Rhinolophus ferrumequinum: one gene and its partner. The protein of the gene in region 1 interacts with the protein of each later gene in a pairwise test. Links are inferred from orthologs where the notes say so. Each region holds a gene or a part of one and is shown in the gene's direction. Other genes may lie near its edges.

Region 1 (11,354 bases):
ACCAGTCTTTCCTTTTATTATAGACTATGGTTTCAGCTTCAAGTCTAAGAACTCTTTGCCAGACCTAGATTCTGAAGATTTTCTCCTATGTTTTTTCTAGGATTTTTATACTTTTATATTTAGGTCCATGATCTACTTTTAGTTAATTTTTGTAACACTCATCTTGTTTTTGCAACCATAACCACTATCCATTTCGAGAACTTTTTTCTTGTCCGAAATTGAAACTGTAGCCATTAAACAGTAATTCCTTCTCCCTGACACTTCCCTCTACCTCTGGTAAACACTATTCTACTTTCCATCTCTATAAATTGGCCTATTCTATATGCCTTATATAAGTGGAACCACACAATATTTTGTCCTTTTGTGTTTGGCTTACTTCACTTAGCACAGTGTCTTCGAAGTTCATCTATACTGTATTATGGGCTGGCACAAAAGTAATTATGGTTTTGCAATTATTTTTAACCTTTTAAACCGCAATTACTTTTGCACCAACCTAATAACCTGTATCAGAATTTCATTGCTTTTCAAGGCTAGATAATATTCTATTGTATGTATATTTTGTTTTATCCATTCATCTGTCAGTGAACATTTGGGTTGTTTCCACCTTTTGACTATTGTAAACAAAGCTGCTGTGATTATTGGTGTAAAAGTTTAAGTCCCTGCTTTCAATTCTTTTGGATATATACCCAGATGTAGAATTGTTGGATCATATGTTAATTCTGTTTAAATTTTTGAAGAATAGCCATACTATTTTTCATAGTGGCTATATCATTTTGCATTCGCAATGCACAAGGGTTCCAATTTCTCCACAGTCTTGCCAACATTTCTTTTCTTTTTTTTTTTTTTTTAATATGTGTATCACCATCCCAGTGGGTATGAGGTGGCTTCTCACTGTGGTTCTGATTTGCATTTCCCTGACTACTGATATTGACCATCTTTTCATGTGCTCATCGGTCATCTGTATATCTTCTTTGGACAAATGTTTATTCAAGTGCTTTGGTCATTTTTAAATTGGGTTTTGTTGTTGTTTTTATTGAGTTTTAGGAGTTCTTTAATACTCTGGACATTAGTCTCATCAAATATATAGTTTGCAAATATTTTCTCCCATTCTGTGGATTACCCTTTCACCCTATTGATTGCATCCTTTCCACAGAAGATTTTCATTTTGATGTAGTTCAGTTTATCTAATTTTTCTTTTGATTTCTGTGCTGTTCATGTCATATACAGGAAATCATTGCTATATCTAATGTCATGATGATTTTTCCCTATGTTTTCTAGTTTTAACTCTTATGTTCAGATTTTTAAAATACATTTTAAGTTAATTTCTGTATATGGTATAAGCTAAATGTCCAACTTCATTCTTTTTTACATGGACATCCAGTTTTCCCAACATCATTTGCTGAAAAAGTTGTTCATTCCCCATTAAATGGTCTTGGCACCCTTGTCAATAATCATTTGACCATATATGTGAGGATTTATTGCTGGGCTTTCTATTTTATTCCATTGGTCTTTATGTCTATCTTTATGCCTGTGCCACACTGTTTTGATTACTGTAGCTTTCTAGTAAGTTTTGAAATCAGGAAGTATGAGTCCTCCAGCTTTGTTCTTTTTCAAGATTGTTTTGGCTATTTGGGTCCTTTGAGATTACATATGAATTTTAAGATAGATTTTTTTCTATTTCTGCACAAAACATCATTGAGATTTTTCTAGGGATTGCGTTTGGTAGTACTGACATCTTAACAATATTAAGTCTTCTAATCCATGAACATGTATGTTATGCCTTTTCATTTATATATGTCTTTAATTTCTTTAACAACATTCTATAGTTTTCAGTGCACAAATCTTTCACTTCTTTGATTATATGAATTCCTAAGTATTTTATTGTTTTTTATACTATTGAAAATGAAATTATTTCCTAATTTCCTTTTTGGATTTTTCATTGTTAGTGTATAGAAATGCAACTGATTTTTGTGTGCTAATTTTGTACCTGCAACTTTGTTGAATTCATCTATGCTGACTTTTTTTTGGTATGGAATCTTTTGGGTTTTCTACGTACAAGATCATATTTTCTGCAAACAGAAGTAATTTTACTTCCGCCTTTCCAATTTTTATGTCTTTTATTTCTTTTTGTTGTTTAATTGTTCTCACTAGAACTCTCAGTACTATGTAGGTAGGAGTGGCAAAAGTGGTCAGCCTTGCCTGTTCCTCCTGATCTTAGAGGGAAAGATTTCAGTCTTTCACCACTGAGTATGATGTTAGTTGTGGGGAGGTTCATTTTTTGCCTACGAATATCTAGTTGTTCCAGCACCATTTGTTGAAAAAGCTATTCTTTGTCCATTGAATTGCTTTTTGCACCTTTGTCAACAATGAGTTGGTCACATTTGTGAGTCTATTTCTAGGTTCTTTGTTTTGTTTCATTGATCTACATGTCTATCCCTCTGCAAATATCACACTGTCTTGATAACTGTAAAGCCTTAATATTAGAAAAAGTGGTTCTTCCCATCTTATTCTTCTTTGTCAAGTTGATTAGCTATACTAGAGCCCATGTCTTTCCATATAAATACTAGAATAAAGTTGACAATTATACAAAATCACACTGAAATTTTTATAGGAATTTAAGTAAACATTTAGATAAATTTTGGTGAAATTGCTATCTTTACTATACTAAATCTTCTAATTCATGAACACAGTATGTTTCACCATTTATTCAGGTCTTCTTTGATTTGTTTCATTGGTATCTTGTAATTTTTAGCATACAGATCCCATACATGTTTTATGTGTATACCTAAGTATTTCATTTTGTTTGGAGCAAATGTGAGTGGCATTGTGTTTTAAATTTTATTTTCTGCATGTATAGCAAAATAAAGTTGACTTTTGTGTGTATATGTTGTATCCTGCAAGTTTGCTGATCTCACTTGTTAGTTTTAGGAGTTATTTTTGTAGACTTTTTTTTTTTTTTTCATTTTCTATGTAGATAATCGTGTCATCTGCAAATAGAGACAGTTTTATTTATTCCTTTCCAATCCAATGGCTTTTACTTGTTTTTCTTGTCTCATTGTAGTGGCTAGAATTTCCACTACTATGTTGAACAAGATGGTGGAAACAGACATGTTAGCCTTGTTCCACATCTTAAAGGAAAAGCAGTCAGTCTTTCACCACTAAGTTTGATGTTAGCTAGGTGTTTTTTTTTTTTGTAGTCAGTTTAAATAAAGTTGAGGTAATTCTTCCCTATTCCTAACTTGCTGAGAGTTTTTAATCGTGAATGCATGTTAGAGTTGTCATATATTTTTTCTGTATCAATTGATATAATCATATTTTTCTTTCTCAGTTTGTTCGTATGGTGGATTATATTAACTAATTTTTTAAATGTTAAACCAGCCCTACATTCCTGATCATCATACGCAATTCTTTCTGTACATTGTAACATTTGGTTTGGTAATTTTTTTGAGGATTTTTGCATTAAAGTTCAAAAGACATAGTTGTCTGTAGTTTTGTTTCCCCCCTACTGTGCTTATTTAATTTTAGTATCAGGGTGATACTGGCCTCATAAAATAAGTTAGGAAGTACATCCTCCTCTTCTATTTTCTAGGGGAGATAGTGTAAAAGAAGCAAACTCAGGAGGTTCCAGGGGAAATCTGATACTGGCCCCCATATAGAGAGGGCAAGGAGAACTAAGAAAGAGGCAGATTGATAGGTGGCAATTTTAATAAGCAAGGAAACTTACGAGGAGGCTTGTCTTGGGCTGCAAGATGAGTAAATCTCTGTACCCATTCTCTAGAATCTTAAAAGTTTATATAGAGGCCTTAACTGGGTTCAGTCTTGTATACTCTCCAGATGGTCTCAACAATACATTACTCTATCAAGGTCATATCCTTGAAGCCAGTTCCTACTGTGGGAACAGAGGGCAGAGAGTACATTCCAAGGACATGGGAGGGATGAGGAGCCTCTGATTGCCCAGTTCCAGCTCATGGGTCAACCGGTGGTCACATTCTCTCAATGACTTCTCTAAGAACTCCCAATGGCTGATTAAAGGTTATTTTATTTTCCAACTTTTAAATCTCTGGATAAATCCGTCTACTTTGTGTATTCAAAAATGATATATTCAATAAATGTATTATGTGGACTAAGTAATGTATTATGCAGATCCCCCTTAAGTGAAGGACCTGTTACCCCAGCTTCAGGGACTACTGCTGAGGGAAGGCCTTTAGCTGTTCTCTTCTTCAGAGATTGCCTCAGCTTCAGAGAGCTGCCTCAAGTTCGTGCCCTTTCCAAGATATTTCACACTCAATGATTACTGTTAGTATAAAAAGGACCAGACAACTCAAACTAACTTGGGACAATTCTGAAGGGTCATCCTAGCTCCAGAGCTTCCTGGAGTGCTGGTGGCCAATACTGTCATTGGCCTGCATCATAGATTGACTTCTACCACTGCCCACTTGTTTCCTGTATCTCACACCCACAGGTGTTGGTCCTTAATCAACATCTTGCCTGCTAAATTCTCAAGAAATTGCGTTATATAAAAAGAAAACACCTCGGACTTAATGCAGTGTAATATTTACAGAAATAGTACCATTACTCGTTTATGTTTACCTTGTATAACTCCTAAATGAATTTGAGGAAACTAACAATAATCACAGTATTTAACCAGTAAAAATAACCACACAAGCGCAAGCTTTATCTATAATAGCAAAGTTGTTTTAAGTGATTAAAGCTCAGTAATACAAAGCCAAATTTTAATTGATACCAATCAATCACAAATAAACAACACTTCTATAAAATATTTTGGAGCTTTTGCATCTGTGCCAGCACACATAAAAGAAAGTCAAATATAGAAAATATTTATGCAAATAAAAGTGTGGGTGGTGGGTTGGTAGTTAGGGCGGTGTGAGTTGCTTAAAGAATAAGAAATGGATTTAGAGATTCTTATTCATTTAAACATAAAAACAGAGTACAATGTACCAGGACATATTTATCCTTTATACAGAGAAATATTGAGGGAGAAAAGTAAGCATACATTTATCATATGGTTCCTGTTTTCATGTGGCAGCTACTACACTGAGGGTATTGAGTGAATGGAAGACAAGCAAGAAGGAAGTGACATATATGATACTATTAACTAGAAAATTGTTTAGAGTTGTTGAGTATAATAGAGTACCAATATATACAAACTCTTATTTATAATCTGCTATCCAGTTATGGGGTCAGATACTATGTCACTGACTCATGAGGGTACTGTTAGGGCATCTGGAGATAGACTTCTTCGTTTCCAAAACTCATGACTGGTTTTGTGAATCTCTGTCTCTCACTGTGGTGTGGATAGTGAATACTCTTGACAATGCTGGAGCCTTTGAGGGTTGGGAAGGGAGGGGGCAACAAAGGGGTTTAAGATGAATCACAAGTTATCTCTGCAAGCTTCAGTTCAAACATCACTCATCAGAAAGCTCGGTCAACTCTTGGTACATAAACACTCTACTCTTATCAGTCTTCTTAAATGGACAAGTCCAGTCTTACCCTTACATGTATAATAAATTGACACTGATGCAGCGTCTGAGTTTTTGTCTCAGTTCAGGAAAGGCAGGGGAACAGCCAAGGCAGACTAGTTCCGACTTTAGAGGCTCAACTAACAACTAGTTTGCTATCCCCTAGCAAAGTGAGCAAAGAGATCAAGGCACATATTTTCCTCTAGGCCACAAATTCTGTCAGAAAGTAGCCAGTTTAGGCTGCTTGTGGAGCTCAGCCCTACTGAGATTCCTGCCAAGGCGGCACAGCAACCCCCGGGGGTACCTTCACTTAGCGGCCACACTACTTGTGGACACCAGAGACCATTTCTGGACCAGGAGGTAAGAGTGGGGTTCTCTAGATCCTTGCTACTCAAGTGTGGTGGCAGGACCTGCATGCAGCATCACATCACCTGGGAGCATGTTTAGCTAGTAGAATCTCAGGCCCCCGGCCAGACCAACTGAATTTGAATCCACATGTTAATTCACAGGCACATTGAAGTTTGAGAAGCTTGTGTCCAGGTGGTAGCCATGAGGCTAGCGGAAGGATCTGTCTCCCAGCCCCGCCCCTCCTACTCTTGGCTCGCCTCTTAAGCAAATCTCAGCCCTGCATTGGTCCTGCACAAAATTTCTGCAAAACCGGAGTGTGTGGGGAGGAGGCTTGCAGGAGCTGCCCTCGCCTGGGAGGATAGAGGATAAGTGTGACTGGATGAGGAAAAGGCAGCTTTCTCCAGCTCGGGGCTCAGCGGAGTGTAGACACTCCCCCGACCCTCCCCCGACACCTCTCTACTCTCACCCCCAGCAGCTGCTACCGCCGGCTTGCCGCCGGTTGCCACGAAAACCCGGAACAGCTGCGTGTGATCACGGAAAGTCCTCCTAGGGGCGACGCTGGGGAGCTGGGCATGCTCAGTAGCTGGGGGAGGCTTGGGTGGAGAGTAGAAAGCTTTGGCTGCGCCTCCCACCCCCTCCCGCCGGCCCCCGCCCCCTTGCCCCTACCCAGACCGTAGTAGTTGCCCGGCGTGCGCCCGGGGAGACCGGGAACATGGCGCTCCTAGCGATGTAGCAGCCGAGGCGGCGAAGGGGATGAGGCACCGCCGTCTCGCTGACAGCCAGCCACCAGGTAGGCAGGCGCGCCTGGCGGGGCTGCCTGGGTGGATGTGGGCACGGGGAGGGGCGCTTGCGAGGATGCGCACGGCTGGGACCCGGGGCATCTTCCTTTGCCCGGAAAGGATGCGAAGCGGACATCTGTGACAGCGCGCAATTGTGCATCTCCTAGGAGATGTCAAAGGCTGGGGACCGGCTGCCTGGAAGGAAGGGATCCGGGGACCGCCCCGCGCCTCCCTCCCACACACCCACCCATGCGCTACCATCCAGCCTTGGCTCTCTCCACCGGTCAAATAAAGGATAGTTCCTTTATGCTGGGTGGGAGGGCGTGGGGGAGAACGCCGGATACCAGTATTGGGAGTGCGTTGGTCCCCCCAGACCGCTAGCAAGCCCAGCACCAGTTCTTTGTGTATAACAGCCGCACACGCCCGGGGGTGTCACGGTGCCTGCATCTCCTGAGGAGTGTTGGACATATTGCCAGGGCAGGATTCCCGTACGGTTTTTGTCTCTTGGCAGGTATAGACTGGAAGATGCAATAGCTGAGTCCCTTTGGGGCTGTGTTTTCCTTTGTTACTTGCCTTGGTGTGTGTGTGCGCGCGCGTATGGGTGCGTGGTAGGTTTTAATGGAGAGAGAACTTCTGCTCATGGGCACAGGTGTGGGCAGAGCGTGGAAAAGGATCTAGGTTCCAAACTCTTGTCAAAATTCAGTGTTATGTCGGCCTCCCGTAGGGCAAACTTGAACAGTCCAGAGATGAGAGCCCAGTTTGGAGAAGCGTGTTAGCCCTTCTTGAACCCATGTTTGTATATTTGGAGCTTTAAACATGGGACACAAGTTAATTCAACATTAGATATCAATTAAGGGAATTGGAAGCATTGGGGCTATCTGTTGTGGGCTTTTTAAGGCCAAATTAATAAAGAAAAAAAGTTGGCACAAAGCCAGAGGTAAGTGTCCTCCTTAATAGTTGATGACAGCTTAGAAAGCTGAATGCACTTTGGGGGAAATCAGGAAACCTGGCATTCCACAGAGTTCTGTCAAGAAGTATGTCTTAGGTAACTAACTCAGGAACCCCTCACCACATCCTTTGCTCTTTTGGGGTCTGGTAGCATGTTAACACTCTTTCTTACCCGAGTCCAAATGTACTAGATGTTACTACAATTCTATGAAATTGACACCCCATAATAACATTTCTGTCACCTTATATTTGTATATCTGTTATATTCAGCAGCACAACTCACTCGGTTAGGAAGGGAAGGTAAATTTAGAATATGCTTTTATTTTTTGCTTTATAATTTAAAGAATGGACATCTGCGACTACAAAGTTTAGACACTTCCCTCTGTACATACAGTCTTTACTTTATGGTCTCCTTAGGTAGCAAAAATTAGTCAGTATCATCAAAATGAAATGGGAAATGCTTGAAGAAAATGCATTTAAGTAAATTAAAGTCATAAATGTCCAATCTGATAGTATCTTGACTTGGAATACATATGTGCAAAGCAGAAGCACAGCTAATGGAAGCAATAGAAGTTGATGGGCTTAGAATAAAAATTTTCTATTCCTGTGTGAATGTGTTGATTGTATTAGGTCCCTGTAATTTGTTATTTTGTAAATAAATGTGAGTTTTAATTGCAGGCATTGAAAACACATTTGGCAGTGCATCCCCTCCACTTTGTCAGTTTGCTAAAATGCTGCAAGTGTGAGAAGCGGGAGTTCTAGGTTTTGGTATCATCTTGGTGATGAGACAGACCTGAGTTTGAGCTTAGACTCTCCTGATTTTAGCTTTGTGATCTTGGGCAAGTTATTTAACTTTCCCAAGCCTCAGTTTCCTCACCTGTAAAACAAGTCTAGAAAGACTTTAGGTACGTAAGACCTACCTAAATGGGTAGCTGTGTAGATTACTCATAATATGAACTATTAAGAAATTGGTGGTGACCGTTATAAGAGAAAGGGAAATGGATGTTTATCCTGTACTGTGTGCCCTGTTTTATGCTAGTCAGATTCAAATATGTGATCTCCTTAATGTTCCAACTCTATTAGTTTGCTAAGGCTGTGATAACAAATTACCAAAAACTAGGTTGCTGAAAACAACAGGAATTCATTCTCTCACGGATCTGGAGGCTAGAAGTCCAAAATCAAGGTATGGACAGGGCCAAGCTCCCTCTGAAGCCTCTAAGGGAGGATCCTTTCTTGCCTCTTCAAGCTTCTGGTAGCTGCTGGTGTTCCTTGACTTGTGATAGCAGAACCGCAGTCTCTGCTTTCATCTACTGTTTCCCGAAAATAAGACCTAGCCGGACCATCAGGTCTTGCATTATAGTAAAATAAGACCCAGTCTTATATAATATAATATAATATGATATAATATAATATAATATAATATAATATAATACCGGGTCTTATATTAATTTTTGCTCCAAAAGACGCATCAGAGCTGATGGTCCGGCTAGGTCTTATTTTCAGGGAAACAGGGTATCTTCATGTGGCAAAGTTCCCCCTTATAGGGAGGGACATCATTCATATTGGATTAGGGCCTACCCTAATTCAGTATGACCTCATCTTAACTTGTTACATCTGCAAAGACCTTATTTCCAAATGAAGTCATATTTGTAGGTTCTGGTTGGATGTAAATTTGGGGTTGAGGGGGAACACTATTCAGTGCAGTACGCCTACATCCCTATGATCGTGTTTAATGACAACACTAATATTATGTCAGCACACATGCAGAAGGTAGAAGTAGTATCAGTTCAAAAAAATACTTTAAAGGTTATTTAATCCAGCTAACCTATTTCAGGTTTTATTTACCCAACCATGGTAGGGAAGAATAGCATTCAAGCATACCTCATTTATACAACTGTCACTTATCTGGAAACCCAGACAATCTAGGATCTCAGTGTAGTTCAGGTAATATAGCTGACATACCCTGTCTCAAATGGATTTGTTAATGTTGTCTCCTTTTTGCTACCCTACCAATAGAATACAAACAAACGACAGAAAACCAAATTAAACAAAAATGGCAACAGCAACAAAAACGCCCCAATCTTAACATCTTTCTAAGCTTTCTTATCCTGGTAAATGGCACCACTATCCTTAGAGTTGTTTTAGCAAGAAATTTAAGAATCATCTTTGATAACTTCGGAGATTTCCTTTGCCTTCTACATCTAAAACTGTGACAAAATCTTATAAATTCGTCTTCTACTTATATTGCTAAATATATCTTGATAGATTCTTCTTTCCATCCCCACCATCAAACTTTAAATCGTCATCTCTCACCTGGATTATTAGTGTAATTTTCTAAAAAGGCCCCTGTTTGCTTGCTTGGTCCCTCCAATCCTTCATCCAGAAAAGATAGGATCATGTCAATCCCTGCATAAAATGTATCCACATGCTTGGGAGACATTCCCCAGACTCTCATAGCCTTGGGTACTTGGTCTGCCTCGGTCTCGGGCACCTCTTCCTCTTGGCTGCTGTCACACTGATCAGTGTGACAGTGTGTTTCTTGAATATCAGTGTGTTTCTTGAATTTCCTGTCTCTTTCTTGAATATTCCAGCCACTTCCCCCTATACTTTGCCAGTCCAAGCTGTATTCATCCTTTGGGCCTCTTTGATTTCCCTTCCCCATAACAAATCTTTCATTACCCTTCTACTTTTCATCCATAGCACTTATTACCTATTTATTTGTTTGCCTATTTACTTAATGTCTATAAGCTCTGTGATGGCCATTTATTTTGTGTTTTGCATGTAGATGCTCAATAAATATTTGGCGAATGAGTGAAGGAATGAATACTCTTCCTCATAGCATTTTTATGTGCCAATTTAAAGATCTGAGTTTTTAGCAAATTTTTGTTTTTTTTACTAGTATAAAAAGAGCAATTTAGAATCTCATTCTGACTTCAAAAGAGTAGTATTCTTGGCTTTTAAAACTGCCTATCCTAAGAATTGGTTTTATGCAAGCAGTTAAGAATTGAGTCAAAATATTTTCTAGCAATTGAACATTTTGCAAAAATACATCAGTCAGTCAACAAATATTTTGGAAATGTTTGTTGGACATCTATGTTTGCCATTTTAGGCCCTAGGAAGACAATGGTGAACTAGACTTTTAGCCTTCTAGAGATTAATAATAATAAATAATAATATTATGTGTAATAATAATTAATAACATTATTTATTGAGCTTCTGTTATATGCCAGGTTCTCATCAGTCCCTATCCCTACTTGTTACTATAACTAGTCCTCCAATTTTTCTCAATAACACAGAACCCAAATCAGATGTATAACAGATATTTGGTAGATATAATAATTGGTAGATTCTATTATCCTGATCTTTTAAAATAGAAAATATGTTTATCTGGGGACAAAGGAATCTGCTCATGCAATTGCTTTCTGAATATATCTAGGTGGGCCCTGTTCTGCTTTAAAACATCATTCTGCCTATTGTCTCTGAGGTTAAAATAAGAGACAAATGGCTCTTCATATGAGGACAGTTTCCAGGTGTGTTTCTTTGCCTTTTACAGTAGTCAAAATTCTTCATTACCAGCTGAATTGTTTTATTTGTCTTGTTTAATCTAAGTGAGAAGTGACTTAATGTCTCTCTCATTCAGAGCTCTTTTTGGTAGTTTTGAATTGCAAGACTGAGTACCCAACGGAAATGAATGGGGTTCAACAATGGAGCACAGGTTACATTTTGGATTTCTTGAGTAGCCTCAATTTCATGTCTTTTCATTATTCACATAAAAGGTGATTTTAAAAAATGAATAAAA
Region 2 (10,360 bases), on another chromosome or scaffold:
CCACTCCTTCACCCCTATGGTCTCAGCTCCCACAGACTCTTGGCCCACCCCCCATCCCCTCCCAAGCACCCTGCACGTGGGTCTGGGGGAGGGTCACCTCCAGGACCCCGTCGTTGAGACAGAGGCTGGCTGGGCCAGGAGGACTGTGGAATCGCAGCTGGTAGTCAAGGGTTGAGCCAGGAGAGTCCGGGTCAACGCAAGTAAAGGTTCTCAGCACGGTACCTACAGGCGCGGTCTCGGGGATTTGAGCCCTGGGAGCAGAGCGCCGGCGGCAGGGTGGGAGTCGGGCCCGGCCGCGAGCCGTCAGTCCTCCCAATGGCCAAGGTAAGGCTCGGGTGTACTCACATCAGCAGCGCTGGGAGGCAGCGCGGGGGCCAGCGGTTGACCGGTCGCACGGTCACAGTGAGATCGAGCTCAACGCTGGCCCACGGCCGGAGCCGCTCGAAGGCCTTCACCTGCAGCGCGGTGACCGCCGAGCCTGCGGCCGGCGCCAGCTCCAGGGGCGCCGTGGTCCGGATAACGCCGTCCGCTGGGAGGCGTGAGAGGGTGGGGGACGCAGAGTTCGGCTCCGCCTCCAGCTCAGTTGGGTCCCCACCCGCCCACCCGAACCGCTGTCTGCGGAGGGCGCTGAGCCTGGCTGGCCCCCCGCGTCACCTCCGCCAAAGCGCCTCTGTAACTCCCGCCCAGCCCTCAAACGCGACCTCGACCCATTTTCTGCCTCGGCTCCAGCCTCGTTTCTCAGGATAGCGAGAAGGTAGCGCAGGTCACCTCTGAACCAGCCTCAGAGGCATCCTCGTACCCCCGCTCCACACCCCTCACCGCGTCCGATGGAGAAGAGCCGGCAGGGCACGGGAGAGAGGATTTCGTAGCGCACGTCGAAGCCCCGAGCCTGGACCTGAACCACCTTAGTCCCAGGAACCACGTCCTCCGGAATGGTGATATTCTGTTCCTGTTCCCTGAACCAAAAGGGGGCCACTGGCTCCTGCCGGATCCCGTGTCCCCCTTCCGCCCCTCCCTCCCCCCCTCCCCCCCCCCCCCCCCCCCCCCCCCGCCACGTACACCCCACCCCGCCCGGTCCTCAGGCCTCCGCTGGGACTTCCCTCAGACTCGGGCTAGCTGGGACGCTCCAGCAGCCCCACTTTAACCTACTTCTACTTCCCTGGGGCTAGGCCCTGCCTCCTTCTGTACCCAGTACACTGTCCCAGGGTACAGAAGCCTTACAGGAAGGACACCTGGCCGGAGGAGGGGGCAGGCAAAACTTTCACCATCAGCATCCCTCCGCAGCTTTGGTTTTGTCCAAAGGTCACCAGGATCTGAAGCCGGAAGACCTGTGGTGGCACAAAACAGGAAAGGAACCCCGGTGTGCATCTGTCTACCTGTATGTCTATGCTCAGTCTTCCCTTCAAGTAGATAATCCCTTCAGGATCACCACAAGGAGCCCCAACGCTTGCTCACTCCTCCCCAACACCTGTCACTCTGCTGACAGGTATTCCTTTGAGTCCCATTCTTTTGGGCCACAAATCCTTCTATTAGGATGCAAACAGCCCCCAAAAGAGTGATATCGGAGTCGTTCACAATATGACTTATCTTCGAGTGGCTAAGAGTCAGGTACAAGACATGGAAGTTTTCAAGAAGGAACTTCCCTCCTTCAGTCTGCACTAGACACTTTACCCAGAACTTTCCCTTCCTGTGTGCCTGCTCTGAACTCTCTCCTTTCTATTTAAGGCACCGTGAGCTCCCCAAACCAGGGATCTCTCTTCTTTCTGGAACTCCAGAGCCCACCACAGAACCAGACCAAGGTGGGAGGACAGTCAGAATGGGGCAGCAGGTGCAGGTGTGGGCTGTGTCTGGGAGAGGCAGCATATGGAGGAGGCCAAAGAGACCAAGCAAAACTCCAGGAGGTGGTGGCTCTGCCCGATCCATGGATGTACCCAGATCCCAAGTTATGCTCACCTTTCCAGCCTGGCCTTTGAGGCCCTGGGGTGGTGCCTGCAGCCAACCCTGCCCATTGATGGAGAAAGGTCCAGGGAAATACGGAGGCTCCTGGGCACTGGTGATGCTCATCTGACAGGACAGAGATGCTGGAGGCCCCAGCCCTAGCCCCAGTGCCCCAAGCATCCCTGTCAAAATCCCCAACGGTCCAGCAGGTACCTCCCCACACCCAACTATACCATACCCCACCACTGACACTTACCCTAGCCTGGGGTCCCCGGGCCCCGATCCTCAATCCTTTCTGCTTTTAAATTATTTCTTTTGTTTTTTAAACTACATTTACTTTTTGGATTACAAACGTGATACAGAATTTTCATGGAGAATTCAATACACACAGAACTTGAAAGAACTCAGCCCCTAAGAGTTTCCTGTAAGAACAGCCATGGTCACTGGGGGATGGGAGCCCTCTGTGGCTGTCTCCAAGAACATGTATCATGCAGAGGCTCAGCTGTACATTAAAGGGTCCCTCTGCAGGCTGCGCTTGGCCAAGCAGGGGCTGGGCTTGGTTTCCCTGTGTTCCCCCATTCTGCCCCCACTGCCCATGTGCTGGGCTCACCTGGGCTCCCTGGATTTCCAGGCCTGGGAGCAGCAGAGTGTACAGCCGGGCCCCAGGTGTGACTGTTTCCGGCACCTGAATGATTTCCCCAGCTGGCCAGAGGGAAGGTCAGGGAGGCTCTGTTCAGGCCATGCCTGCCCACCCACTGCCTGCTGCCCTGGGCTCACCTGGGCTGGCAAATCGGCCAGCACACTGAATATGGCCAGCGTCCCGCTGCACATCCACAGAGAGTGGTCCCTCCATCACATAGTTGCCACATGTGAACTGCAGCTGCAGCTCATAATGGTTCACTGCCAGGGCATCCAACCTGGCCGAGCTGCTCAAGGTCACCTGTAGCAGGTGGGCAGTGATATGGGGCCCAGGCTCTCCCTTGCCCATACCACCCCTGGCTTTGTGAATTTAGGGTCTGAGCTTGTTTCTCCATGGTTCCCAGCTGTGTCCATGACCCTACCTTGCCCACATAGATCCCCTGCCACCTGGTCAAGCTGGGTGGGTTGAAGAAGGTGGTGTGTGGTTGCACACGGAGCAACTTCAGGGTAGGCGTGTAAGAAGAGCAGTTAAAAGTGAAAAACTGAAGAACGGTGCCAGGTCCCTGGCTATCAAAGACATTTACGGACGCGGGCAGGCAGTAGAGGTCTATGAGGAAGAGACGATAAGGCTGGAGGCCACCCAAGCTCATGGAACCACACACAATAGCATAGTCCTGCCCTTCTGCCAGAGTCTAGCCACATCTTGGGACCAAGCAGACAAAGCCCTTCCTTGTCCCCCACATCCAACAATGAGTCAGCTCATTTCACAGACGGGGAGTGAGGATTTGGTCGAGGAAGCAGCCAAGAAAAGAATGAGGGTCAGGGGTTCAGATCTTTGCCCTTTCCTGGCTCCCACCCCCCAGCCCCTGCCCTCCATGGTAGATTATCTGACGAGGGTCAGGACTCCACTCCTCTGTGGAGCAGAGAGGTAAAACCTCGGGTTCCCCACCCACCAGCTCCTCACCAGAGACGACCAGGGCAAGAAGTACCAGGGGCCTCAGTACCATACTGTCCTCAAGAGATAGACAGTAGAGGAGACTCTGGAAGGCCAGCCGTATTTGTTGGGCCCGCCCCGTTGCCAGGTGGGTTGTCAAACACACTGGGTAGGCAGGACTCCTGAGCCTCCCAGACTGCAGTCCCACCCAGCCCTGGTGACTGAGCTCTAGATTCCAGACAGGCGCCCAGAGGCCCCATTTTTCCCACTGCTCCCAATAAATTTCCCTATTCATTACTAAAACCTGAAGGAGATGTGAGAAAAGAACCAGCTTCAGATGAGGAAACCAAGGCTCAGGGAAGTCTTGGCCATGTAGTCCTTGGAGACAGAGCAAGACAGTACCCAGGAAAATTGGGCCCAGGCCCTGCTACCCCACAGAATCTGAACTCCAGCTGCACCCCCCCTCCCCCCGGCCCACTGTTAGAACATTATCTGCCTACAGAATCTGAGCCGAATGATCAATAAAATCTCTCAAAAGTTGTTTACCTTCATCAAGCAAAAGGAATCCTTGGTGATAGAAACCAAATAGTAGTTATTTTAGGTGATATCAATTGTAAGGGGCACAAGTGGCCTCCTGGAGAGGCTAGAGATATCCTGTTTTGATCTCGGTGATAGCTGCCCAAGTGTCTACAGATGTTAACATTTATTGAGCTGTATCTTTGAGAATTGTCCATTCGTTGTATATATGTTATACGTCAGTTTTTAAAAAGCTGTCTACATTTGCTCTCTCCATTTCTTTACCTCTCACTCTCTCTTCTATTCACTACAATCAAGCTTGTCCCTCTTTCCATGAAACTGCCCTTGTCAGGGTCCACAGAGATATGCAGACTGCAGAATTCAAGAGTTCATTCTCCACGCTCACTTCCTTGGCAGCATTTGACACTTGTTCCCCGTGACTCCTTAAGTGCCCACACTCTCTACTACCTCCCACCTCTCTGGCTGCTCCTGCTTAGCTCCTTTGCTGGTTCTGCTTCATCTTTCGTACCCCCACCCAGCAGGGTGTTCCAGGTCTCAATCCAGGCTGCCGTCCCCTGTCTAAACTCACCTCTCCCATCACATCCAGGCACGTGGCTTTACGTACCATCCACTCCTCCTGCCTCCCAGATGTAAAGCTTCAGTGCTGATCTCTCTGCCAAACTCCAGAGGCACACACCCAGTGGCTGCCCTTGCATCTCCTCTTGGAGGTCTGACAGGCATCTCCAGGGTCACATGTCCACAAATGATCATTTGATTTTCCTCCCCAAACCCACTCTTCTCCAATCTTTCCTGATTCAGTTCATGACAATCCCATCCAACTAGATGTTCAGGCCAGAAATCTAGGAGTCATGCTTGATGCTCTCTTTCCCTACTCATATTCACGCATCAGCAAGGCTTGTTTTTATCTCCAAAACATACCCCAAAGTGACCCCCTTCTGTGCACCAGCCCCACCCAGGCCCAGGCCCTACCCTCCCTTGATGGATGAGGGCAGGAGTCTCCACCTTGATTACAGAGTGGTTCTCCCAAAGTAGCTGGGATTATCTAAACAGGAGCCAGCCCAGGTTATTCCCTGCTCAATAGCCCTCAATGCTCCCCATCACACCAAGAACAAAACCCCAGATGTATTCCTTTCTAAAGCTGCTAGGCTTCTGGTTTTGCTGACTTTTTCACTTCTGCAACGCCTACCATCATAGACCCCGTGGACCTCTTTACGTTAAGCCCTGTTCTCCTCCTGGACTCTCAGGGCCTTTAACTGGCTGATCCCTCTGCCTAGAATGTCCCTTCTTGATCTCCCCATGATGGCTCATCCAGATCCCATACAGAATGCCACCTCCTCTAAGTGCCCTCTCTTCCAAGCTAGCTGGTCGCCCTCATTCCCTGGTGTTTTTCTGTCTACTGACTCGTCCGTCTCCAGTGAGACAGTATCCTTGAACGTAGCCTGCAATCATGGAGCGCCTCAGGGAACACGCTCCGACCATTCCCGCCAGAGAGCGTCGCCCTAAGCCCCTGCACGCACTCTCAGTCTGCTCGTAATGCCAGGCGGAGAGGACGCGGGTGTTGCGGCAGGAATCACGGCTAACCGCGCGCTCCCCACTAGAGGGCGACCCGGCCCAGCTTGGCCCAGACGCCGGGCGGAGAGAGTGCTGGCTCGGCCTTGGCTGAGGCCCCTGCCCCGTGCTGCCGCGACGTCCCGCGCTCCCGGAGTCCTCCCATCACTTCCAGGGATTGTCCAGGCCCGCTCCAGGAGCGGATCCAGAGGGTCCGGCCCACAGTGGGCCACTACACTGCCGGCCCGACGACTGCGTGTGCTCTGCCAGTTCCCCATGGGCACAGCCGGGGAACCCGCGCGCCCACGGGGTCCCTGCGGGAGGGACCGCAGTTCTAGCCTAGGAAAAATGCGAAAGCTGAGGCTACCGCGAGGAAGAGACTTGTTCTGGGTCACGCAGTGAGCCCGGAGTCAGTTCAACCGCCCGGGGCATCCGGGAGTCCCGGGTGGAACTGCCTCCAGCCTTCCCAGAGCTGGAGCTTAGTGGGTAGTGGGCGTGGGCATCGCCCACCCAGCCGGGCCCGAGGGGCGGGGCCACTTCAGCCCCGCCCGGGCCCCATTGGCTGCGGCTCCAGGGGCGGGGCGCGGCTGCCAGATGTTGGGGCGGCGGCGGCGGGACCTACGGAGAGCGAGGAGCCGCGGAAACAGGCAGAGGGTGAGGGCGCCGCCGGCCCGCCCGCCCGGCCCCCTCCGCACGGCTCCCGCTGGAGTTAGCAGAGGAACTGGCAGGGCTGGCGGGAGCTCCGGCGCGGGCATGCACTGCACTAGGCTTGACAGCTTCCTGGGCCAGCTCCGCTGGGAACTGGTGAGCCTTGGGAGCGGTGTGACTTGCAAGGACACGTGTGGTGGGGTGCTCGGCTGCGGTCCGGCCCGAACGACACGCGAGTGGGGGGGCCGTCCGGAGTGCTCTTCCAAGGCGGGATGGGGGCGGGGCGGCCCAGATGGCCCAGATGGCCCGCGTCGGGTTTCGGACGGTTGGGAGTTGCAGTGGGCATCAAGTAACAACCGCCCAGCTGGCCGTGCTGCCGGGGCAGCGAAGGGAGCTGGGGAGCGGGGGTGGGGGAGAGAAACTTCTTCTCGGGTGGAACAGTGGGCTTCGAGGGACTAAAGAGGTGCTGGCGCTGCTGGGGATGCCTCCTATCCCAGGCTGGCCTGTACCTCCTTCCTCTATCTCCCAACTGGCAAATGCTTTATCCTGCTCGGAAAGACGCTGTGGGCTTTGGGGAGCTGAATCTCTCAAGAGGCCCGGGATGCCCCCCTCCCCCCAGCCCTGAGCAGGACCTACTTCCCGATGCAGGCCCGCAACCCTGCCTCCCGCCCTGGTGGCGGGTGCCGACTTGCCTGGCTCTGCGTGCTGCAGCCTGCCGGACTGCCACCAGGTCGACTTGTGGGAGCCACACGAGCTTCGTGTGCCAGCACCCCCATGCCCTGTGCCCACTAGAGGCCTTGCTGCCCAGGCCTGCAGGCCTGTCCAGTCCTCCTGGGCCTTCAGTTCTAGGATGGGCCTGGCCAGGCAGGCAGGGATGACAAGCCTGCCCCTCCGACTTCTGCCCTCTCTTCTTCCACAGCTGTGTGGCCGGGACACAGGATCACCCCCAATGCCTGGCCCCCTTCAGCCACCCCACAAACCTGGCCCAGGTGTCCGGCTCAGCCACCGGCTCAGGCCCTCAGATACCTTGGAAGAGGACTCCGTCTGCTGTGTGGAGGAAGAGGAGGAAGAAGGTGTGGTGACAAGAGACAGGGGTGTAGCTTTAGGAGGCCCCAAAGAGCATGCCCTGGACTGGGACTCGGGCTTCTCTGAGGTGTCAGGCAGCACTTGGAGAGAGGAGGAGCTACCTGTATTGCGGCATCCAGCACCCCCAGTATGGCGACCCCACAGACAGCGCCTCTCAGCCAGTGGCATCCCCCTATCCAGCGGGACCCCAGTGACCAGTGCACCACCTGCTCAGCGGCCACGGCCCAAGTCCACCCCAGATGCCTGCCTGGAGCACTGGCGGGGGCTGGAAACTGAGGACTGGACAGCAGCCCTGCTGAGCAGAGGTCGCAGTCGCCAGCCCCTGGTGCTGGGGGACAATTGCTTTGCTGACTTGGTGCACAACTGGATGGAGCTGCCTGAGGCAGCAGGTGAGGGAGACAACGGGGGTGGGCCCCGTGCCCGTGCTCGCCCCCCCCAGTTCCTGCTTGGCCTCTCTGAGCAGCTGCGGCGCCAGCTGGCCAGGGCCCGCCGGGCAACTATGGCAGGAAAGCGACTGTCATGCCCACCTCGCCCGGAACCCGAACTGCCTGCAGACGTATCACGCTTTGCAGCCCTCATGAGCTGCCGCAGCCGCCAGCCCATCATCTGCAATGATGTTGTCAGCTACCTCTGACCCTGCCCTCCAGCCTGGGACAATAAAGACCTTTCTCTGCACTGTCCTGGTTCCGTATGCCTGAGTCTCCTGGAGGCAGCCCTAGGCTACGAGGCACAGCTCAGGCAGGTTAATCTAAAGAGCCTTTTCCCTCCCTCCAGGGGTCCCTGTGTGCCCTTGTCACAGCCCATGTGCGTCACTGCCCTGTGTTTCATCACCCCTCCTCTCCACTTAACGCCTTTCTTCAATAAGCATTTATTGGGCGCCTACTGTGGGCTCAGGATGCAGCGCTTGACTGCTGTGGTAGGGTTGCTGCCGTGTCACAGCTCATAGTGCACGGGTGGGAAGGCAGTGTCGTCGTCCTCACCTTCACAGCTGAGCTCCAGTACCAGCACCCGCTGCCCAGGCTCAGGCACCCAGCCTGCCACCTGCCTCACCAGTTCCGTCACCCTGGAGGGAGGAGGAGGGGAAGGGGTTGGGGGAGACTGGGTAGGTGAGCAGTGCCAGTCAGAGAGTGCCCTGGCATGGGCTAGAAGGTGCTGATACGCCACAAGGAGCCTGAGTCAGGAGCAGGAGCAGCTCAAGACAGGAAACATCTGAAACTATTTTCGGAGCGGCTGGCAGAGCAGGCAGGAGGCAGGAAGCTGCGAGTCCCCTGGGAGTGGGCTATGAAAGGGGGCTCAGCTGGGTGTGGAGTCGCTGCTGGGGCTGGCCAAGCAGGCAGCTCCTGGAGGCCCCTCCTCAGGCTCTGGGCCCTCACCCCACCCCCAGCCCATTTGCTGGCTCCATTTGGCAAAAGAAAGCTTCAGGAAGGTGTGAGGGGCCCAAATGGGGTTGGAAAGAGGAAAGGCTTTGTGTCCCCCACTTCGAATGGCCAGGGACAGAACAAGGCCTGGCTAAAGCCAGGTGCGGGCTCACCTGAGGGGCAGGCGCGCGGCCTGCTTTTCAGATGGCCATCCTGCCGAGTAGAGCAGGGCGGTGCCTTGCAGCAGCATCTTCACCTTCAACCCATATTGTTCCTAGAGAGAGACAGGTCAGGTGACAGCTGGGCCAGGTTGGGCCAGGTGGGGATCAGGGATCGGGAGGAACGGGGCACACCTGGAGATAGGCCAGGAGTGACTTCAGGGTCCTCTCTGGCTGCTCAGCAGGCACCTTCAGGCGGTCCCAACAGGTCCACTTCAGGTCCTGGAACTGTGGTGGGGGGCGCGGGGGAGGAGTGAGAAGCTTCCCACACACACACCCTACCCCTATCCCAGTTACCAGAGCTGACGGCCCCTTTCCTAGAGAAGGAGCTGGACTAGAGGCAGGAAGCAGAAGCCAGGGGGTGGGGGTGGAAGGTGGGATCTGAGCCCAGAGTCTCAGCACCCTCCCCGCCCCATGCTGGGGCCAGCACAGGAAATGGGGCTGTGGGGCCCCCACACAGGGAAACAAGCAATCCATCACGCTAGCTGGTTGTGGGGGGGGGTGGGGGGGGCGGCGCTTCCTGAGGAAGCAGGAGCAGGGCTGTTGAAGTCTCTGATAAAGCAGCTTATTCCTCAAATGCAAGGCCGGGAGCTGGGGAATGGGGGGGGCGTCCTGTCCCCTTGTCCCGTACTGCCAGGGCTTTGGACTACTCATGGGCACACAGGGGCAAGGAAGACAGTGACCACTGAGGCCCCACTGGCCCAGAGACCCCAGCAGGGACACAGCCCACAAAGGCCTCCTCTTCCTGTCCCCTCTTTCCTTCCCTATTTCAAGAGTCTTGGGGTTCTGGTGCCTGGAATTGAGGGCAGAAGGGTGGCAGGCAGCCAGGGACCAGGACAGGTGACCCTGCCCAGCCCCCAGAAAATACAGTGGGGTCAAGCAGAGGCAAGACCTGAGGTGAGATGGGGGACCTCCCTTCCCCCTCCACCACGGACAAAGGCAGCTTGTGTGTTAACTAGAGGCAGGGCCCCTCACAAAGGGGCTCTGTGTGCTGTGCCCTGAGGGACCCCAGGGCTACTCAGCAAAAACCCAGTGCTGGCCCATGACCTCTCCCCTTCTCCCCTCACCCCTGGTGAGAACATTCTCTCCATCCCCTCTCCTGTGCCCCAAGGAAATACCAACTACTTCAGAGCCTGGGCACACAGCCAGGGCCATTCACAGCCCTGTGCTCGAAGGAACACATGCACACAAGCCCAGGAACACCCACACATGTACTCACATGGACACCTATGAGAGCCCTGCCCTCCCATCTGGTACACAGATGTGCAAGCATGCTCCCTCCATGCCCTCATGCCACAGGGCCAGGGATGGCCAGACCCTGGCACACTCACACCTGTGACGCGAACACACACATCCCCACAGAGCTGCAGACCCCACACCCGTGGCAGCAGGGAGCTCAGTACCCTTTAACTCAGCTAGTGGGGCAGGCCAGGGTCCCCAGGCCATGCAGGCGG

Evidence for each region. The genes of interacting proteins can lie anywhere in the genome.
Region 2: the proteins of PAK5 (region 1) and INKA1 interact in binary tests that used the Homo sapiens proteins (3 or more experiments, as listed by UniProt). The two-hybrid records come from large-scale screens. The link is inferred for Rhinolophus ferrumequinum from reciprocal best matches to the Homo sapiens genes PAK5 and INKA1.

Annotation. Positions count from the first base shown.
Region 1 is NC_046306.1:30,611,800-30,623,153, reverse strand, and holds the start of PAK5 (serine/threonine-protein kinase PAK 5), read left to right. Parts: upstream 1-6,209; 5' UTR 6,210-6,618; intron 6,619-11,354.
Region 2 is NC_046300.1:6,670,657-6,681,016, reverse strand, and holds INKA1 (PAK4-inhibitor INKA1), read left to right. Parts: upstream 1-6,203; 5' UTR 6,204-6,349; coding exon 6,350-6,400; intron 6,401-7,163; coding exon 7,164-7,964; 3' UTR 7,965-7,998; downstream 7,999-10,360. Other genes in the region: CDHR4 (cadherin-related family member 4), read right to left, coding at 98-251, 346-529, 820-956, 1,222-1,328, 1,954-2,064, 2,549-2,640, 2,716-2,878, 3,000-3,184 and 1 more; UBA7 (ubiquitin-like modifier-activating enzyme 7), read right to left, coding at 8,264-8,393, 8,862-8,962, 9,042-9,134. UniProt on the Homo sapiens protein: Inhibitor of the serine/threonine-protein kinase PAK4. Acts by binding PAK4 in a substrate-like manner, inhibiting the protein kinase activity.